2 linked regions of the Macaca mulatta genome follow. The protein of the gene in region 2 interacts with the protein of the main gene of each other region in a biochemical or structural test. Links are inferred from orthologs where the notes say so. Each region holds a gene or a part of one and is shown on either strand. Other genes may lie near its edges.

Region 1 (3,823 bases), about 220 kb from region 2:
GACAGCCTCTACTCAAAGCCAGGTTCTGCCACTTACTAGCTGTTACCTTGGGCAAACAACTTAAACTCTCTCTCTGTTGGTTTCTCACCAGGAAATAGGGATAAGTGAAGATTGAATTAATTAACATATGTATTAGAATGGTGCTCAACACAGAAAGTGCTAAATAATGTTAGCTTTACATCTATAATGGGGTTTCTGTTAAAAATTGTAACTTGTTTTACATTTCAAAATTGTGAACCTTAGGTTAGTCACCACATCTGTGGTTTGAAAGCCTCCATGACACATTTAGTTATTTACTCACCACTGCTTGGGATACAGGTTTCCGGAATGATTGATGATGTTCTTTTAAATAATGGATTGCTAGCAGTACACTGTACTTTTTGTGGAAGATCATTTTCCATCTTAAAATATATACGGGTTGAGTTATGTTTACATTGCTCCAAAGGACAATCCCATGAGTACGTGTTAAGTTGTGGATGAGTGTTGTAATGCTCCGGTATCATGCACTGGACTTCAATGCTTCCATTAGTCAATGCACAAGTTAGTGTAGGAGATGGAAGAGGCTCTGGAAAAAAAAAAAGTGTAATATTTAGTACAGAAAATAGTAATATTTAGACTCATCATCTGCAAATTTATGAAGAGCTCCCAACTTCCTTATGAGCTTGAAAGGATGAGCAGACAAACTCCTTGAGCATCAAGGACTGAGAATTCTTTCTTTTGCTAGGTCAGACCTACCTGTTCAAATTTAACAGAATAAATTCAGACCCTTACATGGTTTTGCTCTGGGTCCCCACCCAAATCTCATCTTGAATTGTAATCCGCATGTGTCAAGGGAAGGACCTGGTGGGAGGTGATTGTACCATGGGGGGTGGTTTCCCCATGCTATTCTCATGATAGAGAGTGAGTTCTCATGACATCTGTTGGTTTAAAAGTGTATGGCAGTTCTCTCTCTCTCCTGCTGCCTTGTGAAAAAAATGCTTGCTTCTCCTTCGCCTTCCGCTGTGATTGTAAGTTTCCTGAGGCCTCCCCAGCCATATGGAACTGTGAGTCCATTAAACCTCTTTTCTTTATAAATTACCCAGTCTCAGATAGATCTTTATAGCAGTGTGAAAACAGACCAGTACAGGCCCCAAATCCCTTATCCTCAATTCTGAAATCAAAAAATCTCTGAAGCCAAAAGAGTCTTCACAAGTTGGTAGCAAAATCATTAAGCTGCAAACCCTGACCTGACCTGAATTAACACAAGGATTTATAGTCTTTATTTTCTCACTTACTTCAAATATTCATTATCGTTTCACCACAAAAATATTCCTGTGCTTGGCAGGACACAGTGGCTCATGGCTATACATACTCCCAGCACTTTGGGAGGCTGAGGCAGCAGGATGGCTTGAGGTCAAGAGTTCAAGACCAGCCTGGGCAACATAGCAAGACCCTGTCTTTATAAAAAGTTTAAAGATCAGCCAGCAATGATGGCTCCTGCCTATAGTCTCAGGTACTTGGGACTACTTGAACCAAGGAGTCTGAAGCTACAGTGAGTTATGATTGTGCTAATTCACTCTAGCTCACTGCACACACTGGGCTATGACTGTATCAGACTGAGACCTCTAAATATATAGGAATGAAATAAATACTTGTTCCTATGCTTGACCCACAGGGTGCTCCCCATAATTAAGTGGGGTGCTTAATATGCAGAGGAAATATCTTGTATTACCTTTCCAAAATGTAAAAAAGAAATTTTAATTCCATAACACATCTGACTCAAAGCATTTTGTGAAAGATGGAGCTACACAGAGCCTTGTCAGGCCTGCCTATTGGTTGGGTTGGCCCTATTAATAGGCAGCGCCGGGTGCAGCATGTGTCACAGACCTGCCAGTCCAGAGGCCTCACTCCCACCCTTCCTCTAAGAAGCGCCTCCTATTGGCTAAGGCAGCGTGGATCTATGAGTTAAGACACTAACATGTCACATTCTGCCATTGTTGCCCTTTAAAAGCCTCAAGGCTAATTACTTTGTCCTACTGGTCCTTTATTTGTTAATTCATATGCCTTCTTGCATTTCAGCTACCCTCCAGCAATTAATCATAAGAGGCTTGAGGAAACATGCAAAAACATATGTAATATACAACAATGGTCATGGTAGCACTGGGATAATAAAGTATTGATACATTATAAACATCTATTAGAAGAGCATCTAAGTAAATTTAGGTTCACCAAGATAATGGAATACTATGTTGTCATTTAAAATGATGTTTTATAATATAAAACAAGTTAATAGCTTATGCTTCAATTATAATCTGAAAAATAAAAGTGTTTAATGGTTCCCCCATCTTCTCCTCCTCCTCCTGAATTCCTTCTCGCTCAGTTAAATAATGTACCCAGCTGCCTTGGTAGAAACCAGAGGCACACACTGACTTCCCTTTCTACTTGGGGCTTCCTAGCTTTTAAGTTTAATCTAGCTCACATAAGTCCTTACATACTTCCTTAAGATTTTCTTAAATTAAAAAGACTTTTAATCATCTTTTAAGCAGTGGAATTTCTCTGAATTAAATCTTCAGTGCAATCCAGTCCAATGGATAAGAAGTTGCTCTAGTTGACTCAAAATTGAAAGCCTAGAGCCCTGCTCCCCTAACTTCCTGTGGTCCCTTTGCCAACCCCACCCAATAGCAGCCCTCAGGGGACTTCCAAGGAACATGCATCCCCAGAATAGTTCAAAAATGCCTGTTCTCAGTATTTCATATACTTATGCCTGCCTCTGTAACTAGGCTGGGCATTTCTCAGTGGCAGAAAACCAAGCTTTCTACTTCCTTAGAAATGGTCCTTTGAGGCCGGGCGCGGTGGCTCAAGCCTGTAATCCCAGCACTTTGGGAGGCCGAGGCGGGTGGATCACGAGGTCAGGAGATCGAGACCATCCTGGCTAACATGGTGAAACCCCGTCTCTACTAAAAATACAAAAAAAAAACTAGCCGGGCGTGGTGGCGGGCGCCTGTAGTCCCAGCTACTCGGAGGCTGAGGCAGGAGAATGGCGTGAACCCGGGAGGCGGAGCTTGCAGTGAGCCGAGATCGCGCCACTGCACTCCAGCCTGGGTGACACAGCGCGAGACTCCGTCTCAAAAAAAAAAAAAAAAAAAAAGAAATGGTCCTTTGAAGCATTTCTCAAATTTTAAGGTGCATAAGAATCACCAAGGGTGCTTGTTAAAAATACAGATTCCTGAGCCCCACCATCCCAGGTACGTCTGATGTGTGTGCCCTATTCGTTCTGTTACAGATTCTAATGTATTGATCTAGCTCTGCCAATGTCTAGTCTTTCATCCAGCACTTTCTGAACTGAACAGAGGTGCATCATCAGCCCCAGAGACTGTGCATCTTTGGAGGACAAAGACTAGGTATGCCTCACCTTTCAACCACGGCACCTGACATAACGCAAGGCACACAGATGGCTCCTCACAAGTAGTACTGGACAGATGGGGAGACAGATGGATAGAAGGATAGATTCAGAGAGACAGTCTTCAAACAAAATGTAAATTCTTCTACCAGCTACCGCCAAAGAGGTACAGTATGGTGTTTAGCATGGACTCAGAAGCCCAACTGCTTGAATTCATATCCCAGCTTCATGACAGCTAAGAGCCATTTGACATTGGACAAGTTACTTAAATCACCTGTGTCTAGGTTTCCTCCTTTCTACAAGGACACAAATAGCACTTACTCTATTAGACTGTAATGAGATTAAATGAGTTAATACAGATAATAATCAATATGTGAATTAACATGTAGTGCCTGCACAGAGTAAGTAGTTAACAAATGCTAGCTGTAATAGAGCACATGGCCA
Region 2 (3,823 bases):
GAATACCACCCCCCGCCCCGAGGCTTCCCTTGAAGGTTTCCAGGAAGAAGAGATACGTTTTCACGCTTCATCCTGAGCCAGGGCTGCCTCCCAGCATGAGCACCTGTGACCTGGAGCAGCTTGCCTCTACTTCCTGAGGGCCTGGAGAGCTGTGTTTGTGAAGTGACGCCTGCCACGCACCTGGACAGCTGACAGTCTCCATCCTGGATTCCTTGCTGACTTTGTTCCCTGCTGTGCACTTGAATTTCGCACTCAGGCTGGTGGTCCACTTGTGTGTGATGACCCTCTGAGAAAGTTTTACATGTTTCCCATCTTGATACAGGTTTAATTCGGGGTCAGTTCCATTCATTACTTCACAGGTCAGGGTTGTGTTGATACAAGTCCAGGAGATCTTTGGTTCTGAGACCCTCTCTAAAAAGAAAATAAAGATCCAGTTCAATTTAGGCAATTTTCTGATTTTAATGAGCATATCTATTTATATAGTGGGGGATGGAGTCAGTTAGGGACAAGGGAACCATGTCAAAGACCTCTAGCACCTTTTGGAAATGATTTTATTTACAAAGAGCATTCAGAAAAAAATTATTTCTGATGACATTCATAGATACATTTTGCCACTAAATAATGTATCATATGTAATGTTTATATGCTGTCTTATACCTTAAAATGCTTTCACATGTATGATACCACTTAATCCTAACAGAGAGGCTGATGTTTTTCTTCCCATTTACAGAAAAAAATGTTCAAGGCTCTGAGAGGTTCAGTGAGTGGCCTTAGGGCACCATCTAAATAAAACATGGCAGTCAGGGTTTAGGAATATGGCTAAGAGGGTGCCTCGGGAGTTTGAGAAGGGCAATGCTTTAAGAGCAGCCAGGAACCCCATCCTGGAGGAATCGCCACATTGACATGTGAACGGGGACCTCGGATACTTCTGCCCCAACCAAGTTCCTGGAGCAGAGGGCCAGGTGGGTACATGTGAGCACGTGGGTGTCCAAGGAGCTCAAGGCTCTGGGGAAAAAGAGCACCTGCCTGGGAACCAGAGACTTGGTTCTGCCTTTTCCCAGCCCAGAGCTGCTCAGCTGCTCACAGGGTCTACACTGGCCCTCCTCAGAGCATCAGAAAAGGATCAGAAAAACATGCCCCACCTGTCACAAAAGGAGCAACATGTGGCAAAGTCCTGGGCAGATCATTAGGCACTGACATTATTAGTGGTAGTTCATGCATTCAATAATCACAAACTTCTTGCCTCTCCCGGAGAGAGACTGCATCATAAAAGGAAAATGCCTGGGCTTGACATTAGATGGCTCAGGTCTACATCCTAGCCCCATCACTTCCTAGCTGTGTGACCTTCTCTTTTTCCTCCTCCTCTGGTTTTTTTTTTTTTTTCTAATTCTTTGCTTTGTTTCCCCCAGACTTGCCACTTTTCCCTCTCAGTTTCTCTCCATTCATAATATAGACCCACTAGCTTATTTTTCAATGATTCCCTCCCACTCTGACTTCCAGACACCAATATCTTCCCCATGGAACATGACAGTCAAACTTCATTTATGTCCCAATATATATAGGCATGCAGAAATTAATTTAAAAGTTTTCTTCTCATCCCATGATGATCAGTTCTAAGATGCTATCGGCGTTACTGAGAAGGAAGAAAATGGAAAGTATCTACACTCAGCAACCAGTTAGTACATAGTCTAGGGGTTGGGTCATGAAGTTTGCCTGTCTCTTCAGAATGGATTTTTTTTTTTTCTACTTATAACAGTAACACAGTAACATGATTGTGATGATGGTTGCAAAACTGAATATACTAAAGGCCATTTTAGTATATGGACAAATTGAATGCTAGGTGAATTATCTCAATGAAGCTGCATGGAAAAAAAGAGAAAAGGCCATCATCCTTGCCAAAAAGACCTCTGAGTTTGAATCCTGACTTTGCTCCTGTCAAGCAATGAGACCTTGGACAAGCTGCTTCTGACTAGGTCTCTGTTTTCTTGTATTTAACAAGGAGATAATAACAGCCATGTCTCAGTATTGTTGGGAGCTTTAAGTAAGATCATGTAAGCAAGCACCTGACCCCTAGCTGGTAGCCACTATTTCCACCGCAATGCTAAATGCGACCCAAATGTGAAAACACCAGCATGGTCTCCCGCGTAGGGCTCACACTCAAAACAGGACACTCAAATTTTGTGCTGTTTGGAGTCCTGAGATCTGTGGTTTCCAGAGCCCATAATCAGGGGCCCTTTTGAGCGCCATGCTCAACCCCGCTACATTTCTACAAGGTGCTCCCACTCAGGGTTGCAGGACTAGGGTGTGGAAAGTTGTCACTGCAGGGGAGCTGACAGTGTCTGGGATTGCTGGACTGGGCAATCTGACACTGTCTGGGATTGCTGGTAGGCCCAGGTGCTGAAGACGGGGCTGGAGACAGAGAGGAAGAAGGAGGGGACCCTGCTTCTGGCGACATTTTCTGTGTGAAGCACAGAAATGCTTATTTGCTCACTGAATGGCTGGCCTGTGCTCATGCTGGGGTTCCTGTCTGCCTCCCCAAGCCAAGTGCAGCTTCCTCTTTTCCCTTCTTATCACTCCCTGCCCAGCATTCGTGGGCTTTCAACTTCAGTTATTGTACAAGTTGATAAAATATTTTTAAAAGTTTAAAGCAGATTAAAAATTACCCACAATGCCACCACTCAAAGTCAATAATGAATAATATTTTCATGTATATCTTTATCAGATATTTTCTATTTATGTGTACATATATAAATAATGTAATACTTCAGCTGGGTGAGGTGGCTCATGCCTGTAATCCAGCACTTTGGGAGGCTGAGGTGGGCGGATCACTTGAGGCCAGGAGTTCAAGAGTACCCTAGCCAACATGGTGAAATCCATCTCTACTAAAAATACGAAGATTAGCCAGGTGTGTTGGTACGCGCCTGTAATCCGAACTACTCAGGAGGCTGAGGCATGAGAATTGCTTGAACCCAGGAGGCAGAGGCTGCAGTGAACCAAGATTGCGCCACTGCACTCCAGGCTGGACGACAGAGTGAGACCCTGTCTCTCTCTCTCTCTCTCTCTCTCTCTCTCTCTCTCTCCCCTTCTCTCTCTCTCTCTATATATATGTAATATTTTTAAAATTAAAACTAGTTTATGTGATCTTATAGTCTGCCTTTTTCCCTTTATTGTGAAATTATATTATGACATTCTTTTTTAAATGAACATCAATAAATGCATATCTCCATCTTTTTAAAGGATGCATTCTTAATTTAATTGATTAATAAATTTCTGACTGCTGACTGTTCTAGCATTTCGCTAACATGAACAACGCAGTGACGGGAGTTGTGGAGTGGTACCTCCGTATACATTCACTAAGATAGCATCTTAGAACCGATCCAACCTAAGGCCTTCCATGGTTGAGAACTCCTTAGTTCTGAGTTGCTGGGATTAACCCCTTCCCTACCAGCATATGCTTCTAAGGAGCCCTCCACTGCCTCTTCAGCCTGCAGCAGCAACTCCCTCATGAAGGAAATGCAGGCACAACTACTGGAGTTTGAGAAGTTTGGAGGCTGGGTGCCGTGGTTCACACCTGTAATGCCAGCACTTTGGGAGGCTGATGCAAGCAGATCCTCTGAGGTCAGGAGTTTGAGACCAGCCTGACCAACATGGCATCTCTAACACAGTGAAACCCCATCTCTACTAAAAATGCAAAAAACTAGCCGGGCGTGGTGGTGGCGCCTGTAGTCCCAGCTACTTGGGAGGCTGAGGCAGGAGAATGGTGTGAACCCGGGAGGCGGAGCTTGCAGTGAGCCAAGATCGCGCCACTGCACTCCAGCCTGGG

Evidence for each region.
Region 1: the proteins of CD2 (region 2) and CD58 form a complex in vitro, tested with the Homo sapiens proteins (3 studies listed by BioGRID and IntAct, with this or other methods). The link is inferred for Macaca mulatta from reciprocal best matches to the Homo sapiens genes CD2 and CD58.

The regions. Positions count from the first base shown.
Region 1 is NC_133406.1:123,743,322-123,747,144, reverse strand, and holds part of CD58 (lymphocyte function-associated antigen 3), read right to left. Parts: intron 566-3,823; coding exon 302-565; intron 1-301. UniProt on the Homo sapiens protein: Ligand of the T-lymphocyte CD2 glycoprotein.
Region 2 is NC_133406.1:123,521,810-123,525,632, forward strand, and holds part of CD2 (T-cell surface antigen CD2 precursor), read right to left. Parts: intron 412-3,823; coding exon 181-411; intron 1-180. UniProt on the Homo sapiens protein: CD2 interacts with lymphocyte function-associated antigen CD58 (LFA-3) and CD48/BCM1 to mediate adhesion between T-cells and other cell types. CD2 is implicated in the triggering of T-cells, the cytoplasmic domain is implicated in the signaling function.